Linked DNA regions of Pelodiscus sinensis. The protein of the gene in region 3 binds, or shares a complex with, the protein of the main gene of each other region. Links are inferred from orthologs where the notes say so. Each region holds a gene or a part of one and is shown on either strand. Other genes may lie near its edges.

Evidence for each region.
Region 1: CACNB1 (region 3) and CACNA1C share a complex: the UniProt entries of both Homo sapiens proteins name them as parts of the calcium channel complex. The link is inferred for Pelodiscus sinensis from reciprocal best matches to the Homo sapiens genes CACNB1 and CACNA1C.
Region 2: CACNB1 (region 3) and CACNG1 share a complex: the UniProt entries of both Homo sapiens proteins name them as parts of the calcium channel complex. The link is inferred for Pelodiscus sinensis from reciprocal best matches to the Homo sapiens genes CACNB1 and CACNG1.

What each region holds. Positions count from the first base shown.
Region 1 is NC_134711.1:109,146,629-109,154,445, reverse strand, and holds the start of CACNA1C (voltage-dependent L-type calcium channel subunit alpha-1C), read right to left. Parts: upstream 3,025-7,817; 5' UTR 2,848-3,024; coding exon 2,709-2,847; intron 1-2,708. UniProt on the Homo sapiens protein: Pore-forming, alpha-1C subunit of the voltage-gated calcium channel that gives rise to L-type calcium currents. Mediates influx of calcium ions into the cytoplasm, and thereby triggers calcium release from the sarcoplasm.
Region 2 is NC_134730.1:21,672,409-21,679,764, reverse strand, and holds the start of CACNG1 (voltage-dependent calcium channel gamma-1 subunit), read left to right. Parts: upstream 1-4,295; 5' UTR 4,296-4,474; coding exon 4,475-4,715; intron 4,716-7,356. UniProt on the Homo sapiens protein: Regulatory subunit of the voltage-gated calcium channel that gives rise to L-type calcium currents in skeletal muscle. Regulates channel inactivation kinetics.
Region 3 is NC_134739.1:12,091,617-12,099,348, reverse strand, and holds the start of CACNB1 (voltage-dependent L-type calcium channel subunit beta-1), read right to left. Parts: upstream 3,021-7,732; 5' UTR 2,951-3,020; coding exon 2,864-2,950; intron 1-2,863. UniProt on the Homo sapiens protein: Regulatory subunit of L-type calcium channels. Regulates the activity of L-type calcium channels that contain CACNA1A as pore-forming subunit.

The DNA.
Region 1 (7,817 bases), on a different chromosome or scaffold from region 3:
TGTTATGTTATTTAAACCATACATTTTCATCTGTGTTTAACAGTTCAGCAATACAGTTGCTTTCCTTTTTAAGAAAACTATAAATTGATATTTGAAAAAGATTATTCTAAGTATAAATTTCAGAGATATCTAAAAGCAAACAGTAGGATTGAGGGATTGAATAATTTCTGTCAAATTGCAGCATTTTGTTGAATGCTAACTGAAACCATTTTGATTTCAATGCAGATGAATATCTATAGTTAGTATCAGATAATCTGAAATGAATGTACTCCGCAGCAAAAGATGGTATTGCTGTGCTAGATAAGTCTGCTGACCTTCTTGTTGCATTGTATTTATCCTTTAAAAGGATGGTACTTGCAGCCAATATACAATAACAATATTTTTCAAAATTATATTCAATGATGCTAAAGTTTATGAAGATTTACAGTATGATTAACATGTTTTTCTTCTTGTAGTTTGGCAATTTTCATACTATTTTGTGTCTTTTTGTTTGATCTTTGTAATATGAAGTTGAAATAGGTGTTTGCATCAAGGCTTTTAGGCACTATAACCCAATACTAAAGCAATCCAGACAGGCTTTGGGTGCCAAACCAGTGACCATTTGCACTAATCCACTGTGTCCCTGAAAAGTTTGTCCGTGTCTATTTAAGCGAGGTTGGATTTAGGGCTGTTAATTTAGAAGTCAGGAATGGAGGTAGAAGTTTAAACTAATTCAGTAATTATGGATATTGCTAGTAGAAATGTCTCTCTTTTTGGTATCTCATTATACCTGAGATGGGAAGACACAATCGGTATTTTCACTGTGGTTGAAATAATGCATACTTGCTGCAATTTTTCAAAAACTTCCTTTGTTTTTCTAACAGCAAAATAACCCTTTTCCTCTATGGCGTTGGTTAAATTATTTGATAATTTAAAACACTATCCAGGTTTACATCATATAGCTTGGTTAGTGAGATTGGTCAAGGTCTGACATGAAATCTAGAATTATTTTCTCATTCCTCCTTTATCAGTAGTGCATTGTGAAGACACACTAGAGCTTGGAACCAAATGATTTGTGCAGAGACCTTTCACTTAAGAGTCTTGTGCCTGTTGCTATGATGCGGCTCAGCAGAAATATAGAAGTCACTATACCAGATTAGATTAGTAGTTCATCTAATCAGTTTTCTGCACTGGCCAAATATCATATGTTTCGGATCTGAGAGAGAGCTCTCTGAAGCTCAAAAACTTTTCCCTTTCACCAGCAGAAGTTGGACCACACTGGTCTGGCACCCTCGGTCCTCACTGGTCCCAAATGAGTGAGTTTGCTGCACCAGGGGAGGTCAATTCTGGATCCCTATCACCGCGTCCCTCCTCCCACCACCACACACAACCCCAATTAGTCGATTGTCTGCCTCATTATAGCCTTAATTTTTCCCTATGATTCAACACAATTACAGGGATTTTGCTAAACTTAAGGCTTTTCTGCACAGTGTGATCGGAGTATGGAAATATTCAATTGAAAAGGTGAACATTTTAGGAAAGTCCTAAAAATGGTTTTGTTATGGTGATAGTTCTGCAATCTTACCTGTAGTGGGTAAAGCCACCGTTTTCAAATATTGCTATTGCCTGATGAGTAGTAAGCAGCCAAAAAAAAAGATGCCTCTCTGCTAATAGTTACAAATTCACATGTGGAATCATGGACTGGTATTTGAAAGTCAGTGAAATTTTATGTCCCATGAAAAGAAACAGTTAAGATAAAAAAAACTTTCAGTGGCTGGTAGTGATTGAATCCGTTTGGCCTGTTACATTGATGCAGAAAGTGTATGAAGGAGAATTAAGGTAGATTTAGAGCACTCTGAAGATGTGAGAGAGATTCTTAATGAGGTGGAAAGAGGAATAATTCAGCATGTTTCTGCTGAACACCGGCTTACTTTCCCATTTATGGATGTCAGTACATAAGCAATATGCTAACTGCTCTGAACATTTACTGTTGAGTGTACTGCCAACACTGGGAATTCCGGACATCTTTTCAAGATAAGATAGCCATATGATGAGAAAAGCAGAGTAGTTAAACATGGAATGGAATTTTTTTTAAAGACGGTAACTTTTCATGTGACACTTTTTCCCCCTATTACTTCATATAGGATAAAATGGACAGCTGTCTGTGTTTTTCCCAGGAGAGTGAATATGTATGTAGTACTTTTGAAAACTGAAGATTGGAAAACAAGTCTCAATTAATTTCCCTTTAGAAATCAGGCTTGCCTTTAAAAAACACATTTACTACTTTGTCTTCAAATATTGTTTATATATTCTCTACTTTAAAGTGAAATCCCGTTATTCCCATCTATGCCTACTCAAACCCATGCCCACAGTTTGTCCGTGACTGCATTTTAAATTCTGGAATCAAATATTTTTTTCTTAAGCCCTGTCTCATCCTTTTCTAGATGGAAGCAAGGGACTGGAATTAATTAGGCGCTTAAAAGTCAGCATGTTATCTGATGAAGTGCCTTTCTATTCACTCTAGAGATCTGAGAATTTCCAGAGCACTCTGTCTCCTGTGGGAGTGCATTTATACGCCACAATTTCCAAATATATTACCAATGATTATTAAAATGCATTGTTCATAAAAGTTTTCAGATATGAAAATAACTGTTCTGTTTCAATGGGAATGGAATACAACACAGAAGATTTCAGGACATCATTATTTATATCACTAATGTGGGTCTTACCTCCAGGTTGGATGTAGAAGCAGCTAAGCTGAGTTTCATGCACCAACTTGCCCTTATACTTCACTTCAGGTTCACCTGGCAGATGGTTCGGTAGTGGGCGATATGCTGAAGTAGATTGCCGAACAAAGGCTTGAAACATTTTATACTTCCAAAGGTAGCTTTGTACAGCTGAATTAAATACTCTGTATATAGCAAAAGTAGGTTCCTGATTGTCCGTAGTTTCTACTTTAATATCATTTAAACCTAATAGCCACAAAACTTGTCCAGATGTTAAACCCTAGTCTTGGAAAAGCTCATGTGACCAAAACTACAGAAACTTTTCTAGCTATTTGAAATGTGAGCAGCATTTCTTGCATTATCTTTTCTTCCCTAGTGCTTCACTCCTAATCCTTTTTTGTCCTGTGTTTCTATTGCTTGGTTAAAGCCCTCTCCTCCCCTAGTGCTTTTACAGGAAAACTTGGATTGAGAAGTGAAGATAATGGGCTCCATCTGCCTGTCAGCTCATCACCTTACTGAGTCATGGTGATCTCTGTTTTTTGTAAATCATCACTAACTTGTCTGATATACTCTTGTATTTGAAGAAAGATAGCTTTTGTCTAGGATTTTGTAGACTGTAGGCTTGTCATAGCCAGACAACTTCTCCTGGAATGTGAGTTTAGTTTTATATTGTTTTTACATACAAATACAAATTTATAGTCCATATTTGTCAATTTCATGGTCAGAGAATTTAAAAAAATGTAAATTCTATTTAATCTATTTAAATCTGAAATCTCAGTGTTGAATTTGTAGAGGTCCTGACCCAAAAAGGAGTTGTTGGGAAGGAGGTCACAAGGTTATGATGTTTGTGTGGTTGTGTTACTACTACCCTTACTTCTCTGCTCCTGGTGGTGGCAGCACAACCTTCAGAGCTGGGCTGCTGGAGAGTGGTAGCTGCTGGTCAGGAGCTCAGCTCTAAAGGTGGAGCCACTGCCAGCAGCAGCACAGGAGTACGAAAGGCATGGTATGGTATAGAACTTTTTTCTATTTTGTTTTGCTAGAAAGACTGAATGAATAGTGTGATGTGACTAGCATGGTTAAGGTAGAGTGATGGGCAAGGTCTTACAAACAAACTACCTTCTCTGTTTCGAGTAGTGTTCTGTTTTGTAGAGCGGGGTTTAAGATGTGTTGTTGCATCTACATCTGACAATCTGTAATCTGGGCTTCTTCACTTCCTGGCTGGTTTTAAAAAAAAAAAAAAAAAAAAAAAAGATCAGAGGGATGTTTGGGGCCCATTTTATTAACAAGAATTATTAAATGCTTTGCTTTTTAAGAAAGGATTCCAGCCACATTTAAACAGATGGTGGTGAGATCCCTACACAAGAAACTGTCTCTTGACTTTAACAACATTGCCAATTTACTGCCCACTCTCTTAACCATCTGCATTTGGGGAAAGATGATTGAGAAAGATGTTTGAACAATTCCCTGCTAGTTTGATTTTAAAGGTAACCCGTCAAGCTTTTGGTATGGGGGGGGGGGGGGCGGGGGGGGCAAGAGGCAGAATTTTTCCTTCATGTCTTTTGTGTCATGTAAAGATAACTCTCTGAAATTGATTTTATTTTCCTTCGATAAAGTATTTTTCTTGCTTGTTTTTTTTTTCTTTGACGTTGAAATAATGAAAATATTGTCTTACTGTCCCTATTTGTTGAAAGTTGATTGGGAGTTTTATCAGCTGTTCAACTGAAGAGGCCTTTTCAATCTTTAACAGAAAGCTTTTTTTCCCAGCTATGTGTTAAGTGTTTGAGTTACAGTAGTGTTAGCAAAACCAGAGTTTTAGACTTAATGAAAATCACTTTCTTACTCAGTTATTTGGGCTTTATTTCCTTGATAGTTGTGATATCACAAACCTAGTAACTCTTGAGTTATCTACAGTTTTCCAGGAAAACAGGGCAGATCTGACCTCAATTTGTAGTGTAAAAAGCAGAAGGAGACAAAACAGACAATTTTCAGGTGGTCTTTGTGTCCTCTATAAAACATTGAGTGGGGGGAGGGCACAATCTTCCTCTTTAAATGTGGGCTTAGTAAAGAGAGAGTATTTTATTTATGATTGACAACAAAATGGTTGAGAATGGAATACAGACTTTCTATAAAATGTTACATTTTATGGGAGTTTAGTTTTGATAGATTTTCAAGTAACTTTTTTTCTTTATCAAGATGAAGATGTCAGAAAAAGTTGTTTCTAGTGTATCTACAGTCCTGAGAGTTCATTTCATTTAAAATTTCACAGGAATTTATCAATATAAAAACAAATGTTAAAGGATGATTGATAAACAAATACGAAGGGGCTGGGGAGAGTGTGAAGGTAGCCCAGTACTCATGGGAATGCAGAGGCATTCCATTCCCTGCAGGCCTGTTGCTGCAGAAGTGGGTGGGGCAGTCTCAGCTGGTAGGGAGGGGGCACTCCCTGCCTGTGTCACTTCCGACTGTGCAAAGAAAGCAGTTAGAGCCGTGGTGTCCAACCATTTCTGAAGCAGTAGCCACTATAGCGGCTACTGCTATAGTACGCTAACTACACTCAACCAGCCAAGTAGCAACATGTTGGACACCACAGAGTTAGAGTCACTTTGAAGTGCCAGAGTCAGGTGCAGGCTCTGTCTGGCAGAGAAGGCAGACCAACTACTGCCTGCCTGTGTCCATATTTGTCTCATTCCCCTAATGCACAGGGAGTTTGGTGATAAGGAGGTGAGATAAGCAGGGAGCCCCACTTGGCTGCCAAGTGGCAGTTGATTTGTGTGCTAGTGCTCTGTTCCTTTTGGCAGGGTGCTGGAAACGCAGGGCATTCCAGCACTTGCAAAATTGAGGTTAAAATGGGTAAAATCCAAATTTTTGTTTGTGTCAATACCCGGGAATTGGGGGGGGGAGGGAGCAAAAAAAAACCAAAAACAAAGGCCAGTTTCAAAACAGAATTTACTGTAAATTCCTGAATTGGTTGAGGTTATATCTTAGATTGGACCAGCTTTTGTTGGTGAGAGAAACTTTTGAGCTGTACAGAGCTCTTCTTCAAGGACCAGCATGGCTACAAGTAGACTGTAAAGTTGTTTGGTTTTGAGTGTCTGGTATGTTCACCAGCAAATATTTTAAAATTTCTGGTTTAAGTAGAGCTTTTCCAGGTTGATGCTCCAACTAAAAAAGGACCTAATTTGATCTTAATTGGCCCAACTTGCGTAGCACCAAGATCTGCCTTGTACCAGATTTGTCAAAAGACCTTTGGGGGAGGTACTTCAAAGGAAAACTTTATAATTGGCTTTGATGTTGTGATCTAAATATATTAAATTTAGTTTCTACAATAAGCCATTGACTGGTTTTGAATCCTTAATTTGATTTGGTAAAAATCTTTATTTAGCTGTGGAAAAAATGTGTGTGCTTTTGAGAAGGTATTGAGGACAATAGCCCTCAAGTGACTTTGTGTGCTCACTGTGAAGTGGAGAGACTGCCAGCCTGAGTGACAGTGGAGCCCTTGCTTTATACTTCCAGATGGACCAGATAACCTGGGTTGAGAGCATCACTTAATTTGTATGTGCGGTTCCTGTGGGTGGACAGGAAGGGAGTTAGGGTCAACACCTCGGAGAGAGCGAGCCTGTGGACTAACTCTGCAGTGTGGATATTAGGGTTTCCAGATGGTTGAAACAAAAATACCGACCCTCTTCCTTCCCCCCCCCCCCCCCCCAAAAAAAAACACCGGGGGAAAAAAATCTGTTGAAAGGGGAAAAAGGGGGGGGGGAGATGACTCCAAGACTTAAGCCAAAAAAAATAAAATAAAACAGCATGAAAACAGCATACCCCCTTTTAAGAGTGCAGGGATAGGAACAGGGAAATGGTTGAGCACTAAGACCCAAATGCTTCCCCTTGGTCAGCAGCCATTTTGTGCCGGCAGCCTTGCGGAACCAGATAAGCATGGGGGCTGGGGTCGGGGGGCTCGGGGTGTTGGGAACCAGGGGGGACTTGGGGACGGGGGGGGGCGGGAGGGAAGGGGAGGCCAGGTGCTGAGTGTTTGTAGGGTTGTCAGATGCCCAGCATTTTCGCCTCCTGGCCAGGGAAAAAAATCAGAAAATACCGGACATTTTAGGTGTCCGGTATTTTCTGAATTTTTTTTTACCAGACAGGAGGCAAAAATACTGGACTGTCAGGGTGAATACTGGACATCTAGCAACCCTAGTGGATATATGCTTTGAGGCTACCAGAAAAAAGAATTAAAAACCTCAACTGATGTGGTGGAATGTCACCTGAATGGGCCAGATCATTCAACCCTCCATGCTCTGTGATCAGCACTGGTTGTCTGCTCCTTGGTGCATGTCAGACTGTTCATTACAACCTATGAAATGTAAAATAGTCTTTTATCCAGATAATTAGAGAGGCCTTTTCTCTGCTCATGTTCTGTCACAGGAATTGAAATCTGCAGGGTTGTTCTTGCTTTTTGTTACAGATTTTAAATTGTCCATGGCCAAAAGTGATAGGGGGTTGGATTAGACCATGTTAACAAACAAGGAGATTGATTATTGTGTTCTATGAAGGTGTGTTTAGACTACAGGGGTTTTTTTAGAAAAAAGTGGCCTTTTTTCAAAAAGACTTCCCCTGCGTCTAGACTGCTGCCGCGTTCTTTCAAAAGTAAATCGAAAGAACCTGGCAGTTTTTTTGATCGCGGAAAACCTTGTTTTACGAGGAATAACACCTTTTTTCGAAAGTGCCCTTTCAAAAAAAGGCGCTATGTAATGCAAACTGTGCTTTTTCGAAAGAGAGCATCCAGACTGCCTGGGTGCTGTCTTTCGAAAAAGCAGCTTGCTTTTTCGAAAGTACTGATTGTAGTCTAGAAGCTCTTTTTCAAAAGAGGCTTTTTCGAAAGTATCTTTTGAAAAAGCCTCTTTCAAGAAAGGCATTTAGTCTAGATTGACCCTTAATGTGTAATTGATTTTAGTGATGCAAATCTCCCAAGTGTCAAATATAAACTTGTTTTAAAAAATACTCAAATCTCAGTCACACAAACATTTGATTTAGGAGTTTTTGGATTATACCAACTAGAGGAGGAATAAAGTTTTTTTTAATTAAAGATATGGCAGGCAACTATTGTCTGTCTTA
Region 2 (7,356 bases), on a different chromosome or scaffold from region 3:
CCGGGGCCGGCGCTCCCCCCGCCATGCGCCGCGTGCCCGGGGCCGGCGTTCCCCCCACCATGCGCCCGGGGCCAGGCCAGCCCCGAGCACCTGGCAGGCGCATGGAAATGCCCCTGCGGGCGCCATGGCACCCGCAGGCACCGTGTTGGGGACCACGGTTCTAGACCATTCTAGTAGGGTAGGGTTCCAAACCCTGCTCCTCTCCACACACACAGATTTGCCACAGAATGGAGATCAAGGGCTCCCAGAGAGGCCAGGGTTGTCTGCACAGAGACCCTGGACCCTGGACCCTCATCTTGTTTCCAGGATCTTCTAGTCCAGTGTTTCTCAAACTGTGCTCCGCGGAGCCCCAGGGCATCTCCAGGGGCTCCGCAAGGTTGACAAACTGGACAAACTAGAAACATTGATAAGTACAACACGTACAAGCAGTGGACCGCTGGGGCTCCGCATAAATTTTTACGCATGTAAAGGGCTCCAGAGCTCCAAAAGTTTGAGAACTGCTGTTCTAGTCTCCCTCAGCTCCATAGTAGCCCCATATCTTTGGACATCCCTGCTGGCATCTCCCCCACTTCTGTAGTCCACTGTCATATGATACACAGTAAGTACAAACCAGAGTTGCTACTACAGGCTCCACCTGGATTAAATTAGGTAGAGATTCTCCCTCAGCGTTCTTTGTTGAAAATAGTTTTATGCTACAAAAACATTTGTGGAAAAAATGAAAATATGTGTCCATTTTTTGTGGCAATAACGTGGTGGAGGTGTTGTTCTACAGGTGTTCTTTTTGACAAGGAAAAGTTTTTGTTCCAAAAATACTGGCAAACTCTACTTATCTACCTCCAACAGGATGCTGCAAAGCTTAACTAATATAGAGCATTTGTACCGTGCTTGGAATTTTGCTGTTTGACGGGTGTGACGTAGTGGGGGTACCTGGCTGGTTTCTATGCTGCTGGCTCTGGGGTAACCCCCACTGGCTGCCGTGGGTACCACGACCCAGCAAAACAGGATGAGTCACTATGCAAACCAGTGGCCAGACACCCCCCATGGAGAGGAACAAAGGAAGGTGGAAAGCTGCCCTGGCTGGGGGGCAGGGCGGGAAGAGAGTGAGTGAGTTGCTGGCTGGAAGCATGGAGGAGACAGCCTAGGGAAAGGGACTGGAGTTTAGGGGCCCAGTCTCCCCCATCTCAAGGGGGCCTGAGGCATCCTAGCCCAGCTCTGTGACCAGATTACATCTATGCTGTGCTGTATCCTGGAGAGGCAATAAACTTCCTCTATTACACCGGCTGGTGCAGTCTGTTTGTGCCATTTCGGGGTGCAGGAGACGGGGACCCCCAACGCACCGTCACAACGGGTCCCCAGGGTTCCTTCCCTGCAACATTCCCCCTGCCACCACAATCCCACCAGGCTCTCGGTGGGGCACCAACACTCAGCCAGGCCTCTGCTTTGTGATGTCCAAGCAGTGTTCTCACACCAGTTCAAGTCCTCTGAGGCTCAGCCCTCTGGCTGGGCCCTGGATAATCCACCCTGTCCACAACTGTAAAAAAAATAGAACAAAAGGGAAAGTAACACAAATGAAACATCCCAACTCTGGGTTAAGATTCAGTTTCTTCAGGCTGATTTCTCATCACGCTGTGGCCCTAAATTGAATTTACAGGTGAAAAGAGAGGTAAAGTTCCCTCTCAAGACAAGGAAATACAACAAAGGGATAGAGAATAAGACAGAGAATATCTCATTGCCTTTGTATAACTCCATGCTTCGCCCACATCTTGAATACTGCCTACAGATGTGGTCGCCTCATCTCAAAAAAGATATTTTAGCATTGGAAAAAGTTCAGAAAAGGGCAACAAAAATGATTAGAGGTTTGGAACTGCTGCCATATGAAGAGAGATTAAAAAGACGTGGACTTTTTGTCTTGTTAGAAAAGAGGAGACTAAGGCGGGATATGATGGAGGTCTATAAAATCATGACTGGTGTGGAGAAAGTGAGTAAGGAAAAGTTATTTACTTGTTCCCATAATATAAGAAATTAATAGGTCACAGGTTTAAAACGAACAAAAGGAAGTATTTTTTGATGCAATGCACAGTCAACCTGTGGAACTCCTTGCCAGAGGATGTTGTGAAGACCAGGACTTTAACAGGATTCAAAAATGAACTATATAAATTCATGGAGGATAGGCCCATCAATGCTTATTAGCCAGGATGGGCAGGAATGCTGACTGTAGTCTTTTTTGGCAGAGCCTGGGAATGGGTGACCAGGGAGGGATCACTTGATGGTTATCAGTTCTGCTTATTTCCTCTGGGGCACCTGGCATTGGCCACTGTCAGAAGGCAGGATCCTGCACTAGACAGACCTTTGTTCTGATCCAGTATGGCCCTTTGTATGTTCTTATTCTTATGTAACATCTAGCTAACTGGCTGGCCAGCTCACCCAGTTATCAGAGGAGTTTCTGTCTTCTCCTGGCCCTCTCTTCAGGAGCAGAGGGCTGAAGGTCTGCTCTCTTCCATGGACTGCCCTCACCTGAGCTGTGTTTCTCCCTTTGAAGCTCCTCCATCCAATTCTGACACCTCTCAGATGTGAGGGAGCAGGCCACCTGAAACCATATTAGCTCATTCACCTGTGCTGCCCGGGATGGGGTTGTATACCCCATCACAGAGGGGAAAGTACCATAATGGCCAGCTATAGCTTTAGGACAGTGATGTGTTTAAGACCAAATCATTCTGCTTTTCTAGGCTCGTTCTACTTCTCTTCTCTGCAAGAAGCCAACTGTGGCTCTTTACTCTATTTTCAAGACCACAACCAAGGCCGGCTAAAAACCTACCACACACGCGCACTGGTAGAAGACAAAGCGCGATGCGACAGAGCGGAGCACAAGGGCCAGGTACCGCCCCACCTCCATGAAACAAGCATTGATGGCCTGCTGACAAACCCGGCTTCAGTCACCTATTTGCCAGATATGCACAGCAGCATACCAGCAGCTACTGAGCCGGTCACACGCTAGCTCTTTTAGTTACGGTCCTTTGGGAGGCGAGCCTGGAAAAAGAGAAAAACTGTTGGGCTGTGGAAAATGCTTTTCCCCTCAGCGTTGTATTTAATTTGTATCCTTCCCCACTCCAGCCCTAAGTAGGCGCTTGCTGACGGGTGAAGAGATTCTCTTTCAGTGGTGCTGCAGACATTCCTTGGTCAGACTCGTGGCTGATTGTTAATTTTGGCTGATGAATACCTAAACCAAGTGTTCACAGATAGCATGAAAGGTTTTCAGTAGTCCTGGTCTGTAGATAGTGGGCACCGTGGTTCCATGGCCCTGGGGTATAGACAGGTGGGATTCATAGGTGGGTTAAAAGGAAGTATTTCTTCATGCAATACACAGTCAACCTGTGGAACTCCTTGCCAGAGGATGTTGTGAAGATCAGGACTTTACCAGAGTTCAAAAAAGAGCTAGATAAATTCATGGACGTTAGGTCCATCAATGGCTATTAGCCAGGATGGGTAGGAATGGCGTCCCTAGCCTCTGTTTGTCTGGAGCTGAAAATAGATGACAGAGCAGAGATTACTTGATGATTCCCTGTTCTGTTCAATCCTTCTGGGGGCACCTGGCATTGGCCACTGTTGGCTGACAGGATACTGGGCTAGATGGACCTTTGGTCTGACCCAGTATGGCCATTCGTATGTTGTCATGGGATTAAACCTAGGACTTTAGGTGCTAAAGTCATGAGCTTCTACCTCACGATCTAAAAGCCAACCGACTTGTAGCTAAAGCTGCAGTGTAGACTTCATTCTCTCTCTCACTGGTCTCAGTGCCACTGAATTATGTGTAGTAAAAACGAGGCTGAACCACAAAATTCTATTCTGAAATCAGAGACAATTCCAGTTCCACCAAAGTTTGGTGTGTTTGGGCCCCTGAAACACTCCAGCCTCGGGGTGTAGGGGAGGGTATCGTTAGAACCAATAATGGATTCTGTGGAAGAAAAGTGGGTTCACCCCCATCTTTATCACAAAGAAAAATGCTTTTACGTTCTAAAAAAGTTTGCACCGGTCTCTGTTCCCAGCCATGCCTTGAGTGAGAAGGGAATGGTCTCATGGCTGTGGATATTAATTACACGGAGCTAGCTTTGCTCTCAGTTGGCTTATGGAACTTGCTGCACAAACCCAGCAGGGACAAGCTTGTAACTGGAGCTCCCGCAGTTACTTTATTCATTAGGTGCATTAATAGAAGCCCCACTCACAAGTCTAGTCACCCTGTCTCCTGATATATTTCAACAGCTGTACATGTGGCCAGCTGTCCAAGCCAGCCCACAACCTGCTCTACTTTTGCAACACACGGATGACATTTGGAATCTATTTGGAAATGCTTAGACACGCCAAGACTTTGGAAGACCACTTGAATAACTTGCAGCTCTCCTTCAAGTAGACAAACAAAACTCGACAGGGCAGTAATCACCGAAAGAGTCTGCCCTATGCGCTCCGGTGCACCCTAGCCATGGACGAAGGCAAAGCACTGAAAATTCGGGTGACTTTCTCTGTTATTTTGGTTGGCGTCTCTTTAATGTTTGCAGCTGTGGTGACTGATCACTGGGCAGTGCTAAGCCATAAAGTGGAGCATTACAATTCCACCTGTGAGGCTGCTCACTTCGGGCTATGGCGGCTCTGCACAAAGCAGTTTTACATCCAAGAACAAGTTACCAAGGAGAGGAGCTGTGGGAAGATAACTCTGACAGGAGGTAGGTGCTTGCATTCATTCCGCATCCACCCCAAAAATGCATGGGAGAAAATGTCAGGCTATTCTTAGTGACGTCTTTTAGGAAGAGAAAAAACATGCTGGAAAAAATGTGATTCTTGCTCCCACTGCACTTGATCTTACAAGATTCAACACGTCAATTTAGTTTTCATATTAGCCTGAAAATACACCTCATTGTCACATTTCGTTGAGGCCTTATCTTAAATGCATGATGCACTTCCACAGTATAGATCTGTGAGCATATTTAGCACACTGCTCTTCAGCTGTTTCCATACAGCACAGAAAGCAGCTGGCATAAAGGGGGCCAGATAGGAGAAGGCAAAAGGCACAGAGAGAAATCAGAAAGAAGGATATTTTCCCACTGATGTTTTTGCTGATATCAACAACCTTGCAAAAGCTATGCTAGGCCTTATAAAGGCCAAACTTCCATTGAGTCCACAGGGAGTTTTGCCTGTGTGGGGATTACGGGGTGGGAATGATATCTGGTTCATTATAAAATGTTTGTAGTTCAGAGCAATATGCCAGAACCTCTTGTTTTTGAAAGTTATTTCAAAGTTATTTAATACTCTTCAGTATTACTTAGGGCAGTGTGGAACTGCATGCAATGGCATAGTTCTCCAAATGCCAAAAAATGCTGTAATTAAGTGAGAAATAATCTATCACTGGCTTATTAGGGCCTCCTTAAATTTCACAGAGTGGCAGAAAGCAAAGGTGCTCTGTGTTTGTGAAGAAAGAAGTCTATTCAGACCCTTTTCTTCATACGGAGTAGTCAGAGATCCTGAAAATAGTCCCATTAAAATCAACGGGAAGCATGGTAGCCTGGCGCCCCTCGCTAGTTTCCTGGAAAGGTATTACATTAGCATGATTTGCAAGTAGTTGTATTACATTTTTGCGGATTGCAAAGTCTGCTGCATTCATGCAACCTGTGCTAATACTCTTTTCCTGACTTTTCCAATTTCAAGAGGCTAATACCAACTTGGATTATTTCCTAGACAGAAATCCCCCTAAATAACAGGATTTCCTTTTGATTAGCACCCCGGGTTGAAGGTACAATTAGATTTTAATATATTTGTAAGATGACTATGAAATCATATAGTGATAATCCTCAACCTGACTAAACTATTTATTATCAGACAGAAGAGGCTGATCCATAGCATTCAGATCCGAGTTCCAATCTGGCATTCCCCCATGTTTGGGGGTGTTTTAATCTGGAGGTTTGCCTTAGTCCCATTTCTGGTTGATATAATAAATACATTTTAATATAGCTAATGACCTTATCAATATCATTTTCTGTGCACATGTAGGAAGCTTTATGTTTAAGGGGAGACAGATTGGGAGAAACACATAAATACCGCGCTTTATTGAATAAATTTATAACTCGTAAATATCCTGCTGGCTCAGTAAAACAGCTTCATCATCTATCCAGCAGAAAAGTGTTAGATAGTTTTGACAGACACCAGCATATGCTTGCATGGACATCTCCCAGCTGAGCTACCCATGCCCTCTGTATTGGCTTCTTAAAGTGCCGAGTAAACAAATAGGTAATTATGGAGCTGAAGGCCTCTCTGCAGAACAGCTTTGACTGAAACAGAGATGACCTTTCATTACGGGAGAGGTGGGCATACTTTTAAAGGGCTTGGCAGATACTCCTGGGATTCAATGGAATTCAGCTTCAAAATCATTATATGCAATAATACTGAATTCTTTCATGCATGTCATCTGAAGTTCTAACAGAGTCCTTTACAACACACTCTACTGTTAGGTACGTGCTATCATCCTCATTTTTACATTAGGGAAACTGAAGCACAAGAAGGGTCCAAGGTTGGCCAGAGGCCAGCCATGCAAAGCATCTATGATAGCACTTGGAAAAGAACTCAGATGTCTTGGCTTTCAGTATTCAACTCTAGCTGCTAGACTACGCAGCTCCAGAAATGGCACTCCTAGTTGTGATGATTCCATATGGCTGAGGAGAAATGCCAGCTGAAGTTGTCAGACTTGGACTACACAAGAAAGAGGAGGGAAACAAAGTTGGAGTAGCTGACCGGTGTGTCAGTAAACCTGTTTTTCTGAAAATCATACGTAGTCACCAGGATTTGAAAAAGTATCATTATTTACTACTGGGTTAATAGTTACCTACCTAGTACTACTCGGGTGGAATAACTAGTATTGCTTCTGTTGTTTATTACTTATTAATCTTAGTGCTGTACTAAATATAGGATACGATTCTGGCCATGTCTTCACTACACGGAAGATCAATGTTGCCACGATCGATCTTCCAGATTGTGATTTAGTGGGTCTAATAAAGACCTGTTAAATCAAACTCGGAAGGTGCTGGTACTGCTGCTCTTTGTGAGATGTTAGGGAAGCTGATGGGAGTGTTTCTCCATCAACCTTTCACTGTGAAGACTGCACAGAAACTCAAATTAAGGTATGTTGACTACAGCTGCATAATTAACAAAGCTGGAGTTGCATATCTTAATTCGACCTTCCCCATTAGCCTACAACTGGCCTTAGAACTTGTGGTCTTATGGTTTAAGGCAGAGAGATTTACAGTTTAACCACACGTTTAAAGGTTGTTGACAAATTGGAAAGGCTCAGAAACCTGCGTCGGGAAATAACAAGGT
Region 3 (7,732 bases):
CCCAGCAGCCAGGCAAATGCACACGCGTAGGGAGCCAGCGAACACACCTGCTGCCACTGAGTCATCCCCTGACCAACAGCGCCTGGCAAATGCTCCAAATACCCAGCTGGTGGCACAGACTTAGAAGGAGCCAGCAGCTGAGAGCTGTCCCACAGCCAGCGCGCTTGCCCCATCCTCTACAGCGCCTCCTGCTGGGGGAGGCTGGGGCTGGCAAGATTTCCACCCCACCCGCAGCCAGCCCTCCCTGCAGAATTGTGGCTGGACCCCTCCGCAGCTGTCTCAGAGGGCCCAATCCTGCTCCCCCTCCCCGTCCTCGCCCTGGGACGTCAGTCCCTTCCCAGCTGGTTCCTCCTGAAACTCCCAGTGAGCGCGAGGCCTTTCTGCACAGGACAAGCAGCCGGGACGTGTTGGGGCAGGTCTCGGAATGAGCCATCTCAGAGGGACAGCTGGGCCCAGTTGCTGCCCAGCCCACAGACACGTGGTCCCTGCGCAGGGCAGGAGTTGGTATTTTTAGGATTCCTCCCCACCCCCATCGCTCCAATCAGGGTCCATCCATCAGTCACATTCCCTGCACCCGCGGTGGGTGGCTGGGATTCCCCATCCAGGGGGCTGGTGCAGGGTTTCGTCTGTAACGAAATAGCTGCAAGCCTGTTTTTTACATTCACAATGAACCCTGCAAGCCCAGAGGCCTTGGAGCTACGAACCGCCAAGCCTAGAGAGGCCGAGGCTCAGCCCTGGCACAAGTTAAGCTCTTGACTGGTGGCCCTCCAGGTGGGGAAGGGTTAACCGGAGCCATGTCCTAAGCTGGTGGAGGCTGGGTTTGTGTTTCCCAGCCCTGTGGTCCATCCAGACATGGGTAACCCTTCCCCTTCTCCACCCTGCTAAGTAGCCCTGAGCAACAGATCCAACCAGCGACTGGTACCCCCGGCAGGCACTGGTATCCCAACCAGATACTGGTATCCCAACCAGATACTGGTACCCCCAGCAGGCACTGGTATCCCAACCAGATACTGGTACCCCCGGCAGGCACTGGTATCCCAACCAGATACTGGTACCCCCAGCAGGCACTGGTATCCCAACCAGATACTGGTACCCCCAGCAGGCACTGGTATCCCAACCAGATACTGGTACCCCCGGCAGGCACTGGTATCCCAACCAGATACTGGTACCCCCGGCAGGCACTGGTATCCCAACCAGATACTGGTACCCCCAGCAGGCACTGGTATCCCAACCAGATACTGGTACCCCAGCAGGCACTGGTATCCCAACCAGATACTGGTATCCCCAGCAGGCACTGGTATCCCAACCAGATACTGGTATCCCCAGCAGGCACTGGTATCCCAACCAGATACTGGTATCCCCAGCAGGCACTGGTATCCCAACCAGATACTGGTACCCCCGGCAGGCACTGGTATCCCAACCAGATACTGGTATCCCCGGCAGGCACTGGTATCCCAACCAGATACTGGTACCCCCAGCAGGCACTGGTATCCCAACCAGATACTGGTACCCCCAGCAGGCACTGGTATCCCAACCAGATACTGGTACCCCCAGCAGGCACTGGTATCCCAACCAGATACTGGTATCCCCAGCAGGCACTGGTATCCCAACCAGATACTGGTATCCCCAGCAGGCACTGGTATCCCAACCAGATACTGGTACCCCCGGCAGGCACTGGTATCCCAACCAGATACTGGTATCCCCGGCAGGCACTGGTATCCCAACCAGATACTGGTACCCCCAGCAGGCACTGGTATCCCAACCAGATACTGGTATCCCAACCAGATACTGGTATCCCCAGCAGGCACTGGTATCCCAACCAGATACTGGTACCCCAGCAGGCACTGGTATCCCAACCAGATACTGGTATCCCCAGCAGGCACTGGTATCCCAACCAGATACTGGTACCCCCAGCAGGCACTGGTATCCCAACCAGATACTGGTACCCCCAGCAGGCACTGGTATCCCAACCAGATACTGGTACCCCCAGCAGGCACTGGTATCCCAACCAGATACTGGTACCCCCAGCAGGCACTGGTATCCCAACCAGATACTGGTACCCCCAGCAGGCACTGGTATCCCAACCAGATACTGGTATCCCCAGCAGGCACTGGTATCCCAACCAGATACTGGTATCCCCAGCAGGCGACATCACAACAATGTATCTGTGCTGGTATCCCCACCTCCTCCTCCATCGGGCAGTGCTACACCAAACCCCACAGCGGGTTTCCAGCAGGGGTGAAGTACCCCTTTAGTATCCACTAGCAAGCAGAAGGGGAAATAAAGAGGCGTGGTGCCTCTGGATTGGATCTACCAAATTACCCCGTCTGCTCCAAAGTTTCCCGGCGCGAGCCCCAGAGGAGGCATAGTGGCACCCCGGGGGCCCCTCCGGGCCAGGACTGGCCCAGTCTCACAGACCCTTCAGCATTGTGACCCACATTTTCCAGACGGGGAGACCACGGTGACACAGCAAACAAGGGCAGCTAGGTCCCCCGCAAGACCACCCGCTTCCACCCCTAGGACCCACCCACCCCCTTGCTCACCTCCCTGGTGACCTCTGGGCACAGGATGGGGGGCACGTGGGGCCCCCGCTTTGCCTGGTGGGTGCCAAGGGGGGGGGGGGTTTCAGCTGAGCTGGAACCCGGCGAGAGCAGCGAGAAGGGCGGGGGCAGAAAGCTGCCAGGCTGCGAACCTGCCTCCGATCCCCCCGCATCGGTTCGAGCCCGTCTCAGCCCCCCTGCACTTTCCAGCAACCCCCTCGGAAAAGCAAAGGGCAGCGGGTCATGGGCCGGTTCCGATCCGGTCCGGTCCATCCCCCCGGTATTTCTGGCTGCAGCCCCCCTCCGGGGGGGGGGGGACCCACCTGCAGGCCGGGGTGCTCGAACACGTCCATCTGGATCTCCTGGGTGGAGCTGCGGGGTGTCCGGGCCATGCCGCCCTCCCGCACCATGGAGCTCGCGGCGGCTCGGCCTGGCTCGCCCCGGACTCGTGTCCCAAGCCAGCCCCGGCAGAGGAGGAGCCCGGGGCGGGGGCGGGGGCGTGTGGGGGCGGCAGCCGCCCGGCCCCTCCCGGCGGCCACACAATGCGCAGGCAGGCGGGGGAGGGAGGGAGGGGGGTGGCGAGAGGCGGGGGCGAGCCCCGGGGCTCGCCGGCCCGGAGGGGGCGGGGTGTGGTCCGAGCGCCCCCCCCCCCCCACAGAGCGATGTGGGGGGGTCTGCAAGCAGGCAAAGACCCCCCCCTCCGGCTTTGGAACTCCCCCCCCCCCCGATCCTCCCCCCCTACCGAGGGGCCTGGCTGCCAGCAGCGCTAAGTGGGGGGGGCAGATGTCAGGAGATGTCCCCCGTCATGGGGATTCCCGAAGGGGGGGGCTCATGCCTCCCTACTCCCCACAGAGCCCCCCCCCAAACCCACGGCCATGGCTGGGCGCAGGGCTCCAGTGATGGGTCCGCTCCCCCCTGCCCAGGGACCATGGGGGGCACTGCTGCCCCCCCTCAGATCCTGCAGAGAGCTGGCCCTGGGTATTTTACTGCCACTCTTTTCAAGCCCGCCCCCCAGGCCACTGCTCCAGCCCACCAAAAGCTGGATCCCGCCTCCCTGCAACTGGCTGTGGGGGGTTGCGGGGATACTCAGCCCCCAGACCTGTTTTATTGGGGGGTCCCGGGTTGGCGTGGCGCTGGGTTGGCTCTCAGCGCTAACCTGCTACCCGCCCGGTAACCTGCTACCCGCCTGGTAAGTTGGATTCCACGCACAGCTCCCCCCATCCCATCCCTGGGCTCCCTCCACACACACTGTCCCCCCTTCTTTCCCTCCCCCCGTCTGCCAGCACCCCTCAGTCCCGACCTCCGCCCAGCAGGTGGTAACCTTGAGAGAGATTTCTGAGTCCCAGGATGGGGACCCCCAGCTGGACCGGTTCCCCTCCCTTCCTGCCAGGCACAGGCTCAATGCGGCCGTGTGGGGGGGCAATACTGCTGGGATGGGAGAGGGGGGAGCTTGGTTGGGAACAGATCTCAGCCTCCCAGAGCCCCTGCCATGAGAGCATGCTGGCCGGTGAGCGGCTGTATTGCTTAGCTGGCCTTATTGTGCAGTGACAGCTGGCCTGGGTCCCAGAGCTCTGCTGCAGGTCGGTAGCTGGTAACCCACCCACCTCTCTCCCCCTGTGCCCTGCCACCTCCTTTCATTCGCCCCCACCACCCTTTGCCAGGAACCTGTCCCCTACCAGAGACTTCCTAGCAGAACCCACCTGCCCCAACACCCCCTGGGGGCTCCCAACAGGCCCTGATGATCCTCAAAGCCCCCCACATGCCCCCCACGTCAGGTAGACTAGGGCACTTGGATGAGCTCCAATTTAGGGTGAGAAGGAGGGAGGGGAAAGGAGTCATTGGGGCCACTTCTTCCCCCACCAGCCACCTGGGAAGCAACTGATGCTGTGGCCAAGACCCTGGAGTAAATGAGGGGGCTGAAGAAAAGTGCACTCCCCTCCCCCCCCCCCGTGCTGCCCCTCCCACCCAGCAACCCAGCTGAGGAATGGAGTCAGGGACTTACCCCCTCCATCTGCCCGGTACTCCTGCCAGGGCATGGGGGACAGGGCAGGGACGCTGGTCCTTCTCCGCCCACTTCGGGGCTCCAGCTGAGGCGTGGGGGTCGGGGCCTTGCAAGCCCTCATGACCCAATTCTGCTCCCCAAGGAGACCACTGGGCGGGTGGAGCAGGACAAGCCCTGCACCCCACCCCCAGGAGAGGGGCAAGCCACCGCACCCCAACCCTGGCAGGATGCTGGACGGGCTGAGCAGGGCCAGCGATGGGGCAGGACCAGAGCTGGGATGGGGGGGAGGGGTTGATAAGTGAGTGGGCTGTGGCCAGCCCATATGCTGTACTCCAGGGGTGGGGAACCTCAGACCCGGGGGCCGAGGCTCAGGGGCCTCTCCCAGTACTGGGTAGCCTGCGCTGGCACTCCAGCCCCACTGCTGCCCCACCATGGGGCTGGAACCACAAAATCTACTAGGCCGGGCCGCCCTAGGCTCTGGTGTGTGAGGGGAATGGGGGGTGGGTCTGTCTCCTCCACTGGGGGCTATGTCAGTGAGGGGTTTCTTGTTTTGGTTTGGTTTTGCTTCCCACTTGTGTGCAGCCCCCGACCTAAAAAAAGTTCCCCAGCCCTGCTGTACGCTCTACACCCCAGTACAGAGGAAGCCCCATGACAGGCGACAGGGGGAGAGAATTCACGTGGCTGGTGGGGGTCTGTGGCTAAGTAGGAAAGAATTGGGGGGGCTTGGCTCTGTGTTTCCCCACCTCCCTCCCTTGTCTCGCCACCCGCTAGGCCACAGCTCGCTTTGGCAGGGATCCTGAGCGTAGGGAAGTGCCCTCACCCCACTGGAGCATGACAGCAGCCCCATGACCACCCCTTCACCTCGCAGAGACTGGGGGCCAGTCCCAAGGGGGTGCAGCGGGGTGCGGTGGATTCACTCCGGAGAGCTGGCTCCAGCCCCGGCCTGCGCAGCTGGGAGACAAACTATCCAAGCACCAGGGCAGGCGAAGCAGGAGAGCTTTTCCATTATTAGAACCCATCCATCACGGGCGGGCTGAGGCGTGACTGCAGAAACCAGCACTGAATCCCATTTCACCTCCACCGGAGAAACCAGGCATGGAGAGAATGACTTGCCCAAGGTCACGCAGCTAATCGGTGGCAGAACCAGGTGTAGACTCCAGCCCCCCTGTTAGGCTCTAGCATCCCCCCCTCTCCGCCCCCATTTCAGAGGGTGGGGATACAGCTCAGATGACTGGGACTATACAAGTCCGGACCCCAAAGAAGCAAAGAGGGGGTCTTTTGAACCCCAAAAGACTAAGCAATTGAATCAACCAATTGTACACAATGTGAGTGCAGAAGAGTATGTCAAGTAAGGCCTCTAAGGAAAGTTGGTGATGTTCTGAACTTGCTGGGCATTAGGAGATCTGCACGCAGGGCATACACGCATGTGAAAGTTGTAATTGTAAACTACAACATCACCTGGCATATAAGGCAGGGAGGTGCACCAGGCCAGCTGTTTCCACGGAACCAACTTCAGCGACTCGTCCATCCTTCAGCTGGGAAAAGACAATGCTGGGACCACTAGAGTTAATGGAAAGACAAGGAGACAGCTGGGAATTCCCACACACACACCAATGAGTCACCAGGCCAGAAAGAAGGGGAAGGGGGGAAGCCTTTTACTAGCAGGCTTATGTTGCATCAGAGGCTTTCTCTACACCTAAAAGTTTCAAGCGCAGCAGCTTTAAGCTATGGATGTAAACAAGTAGTCGAGTATACGATTAACCGGTAAGACTAGGCTTATCGGTTAATCTTCTCAACTACTTGCATCCCGCCCAGCCTTGCTGCCTCTGTATCAGAGGCAGCAAGTGGGATGGGGCAGGAGCCGGTGCTGCAGGGAGCCACCTTAAAAGGTAGATTCCTCCCAGCACCGGTTCTGCCATGCCGCCAGCCCCCCAGCATGGGGGGGCAGGAGAGGCTGCACAGGAGCAGGGGAGGCATCGCACGGAACAGCCTCTATCCTCGGACAGCTCAGACCCCCCCACGGACGGGGCTACTGCCACCCTGCACTGCTGCCTCTGTATCAGAGGCAGCAGCATGGGGTGGCAGGCAGGCAGCTGGTCTGCTTGGGGAGTTGGTTTTTAAACTGGCTCCCCTCACGGACCGGCTCCCTCCTGGCACCTTGCGCTGCTGCCTCTGATACAGAGCTCTCCCAGGCCAGCGCTCTATGTAAACCACATCCATGAGGAGAGTAGCAAACAGCACTGTAGCCTGGTTCCCATTGGCACTTTACAGCGCTGTAACTTCTGCACTTGGCGGGGGGTTGTTTTTTCACACTCCTGAGCCAGAAAGATGCAGCACTGTGAAGTGCCAAGGTAGACGCAGCCTTTGCATGAAGGTTTTTTCCCAGAAACTGAGGGCAGCCTGTCCGTGAAACCCTGGATTCTCCCTAGGACAGGTGTGCTGGGAAACTGTTCGGAGGGAATAGAAAAGGGGATTTGTCTAATAAACAAGCGTAAAGCCAGAGGTTGCGTCTTTCCATTTCAATTCCGTGTGACGGGTCCGCGTTTGCTTTCTCTTACCTGTTCACCTTTGAATCTGCAGTTTTTTCCATAGTAAATAAAATTACTTCTACCCCCAGAGCGTCCCAGCGACATTCAAACTGCCCCTGCCTCTTCATCCCAAACTCAAACCCAGCTCTGAGTCAATACAAGCCGGTTCCCGGTTCCAGTCAGGAGTGAAGTAGGTTTCCTCCCTGCAGAGGATCCCAACTTTGGGGCGGTTCCCTGATCCAGATGTGACTCCCGCCCGTCTCCCGCTCCTGACAGGGGGATGCCAGGCCCGATTTGAAATGACCTCTTCAGACTAGGGATGGAAATGGGCAATTGGTACTCGGCCACAGCCCCCCACCTACAGTCTGCCATCAGCAGCAGCAGCACCCCTGTTGCCAGCGGCAACCACTCTGGGACCAGGACCAAGATCCCGCGTAGTTAGGTTAACCAGTTAAACATTGGGTTAACCGAACGTTTAACCGGTTAACTGATTAGTGGGGATTTTCCATCCCTACTCCAGACCAGCAGGGGCTGGGAGATTTGGGGAGAAGGATGCTGTTTAGAGAAACCCCTGTGTATCCCCTCTTCCCAGCTAGGCCAAGGGAGATGGCCTTTTCTGAGGGTTCAGGGCCACTCCCATTTTGGCCTGTTTGTGCAGAGAC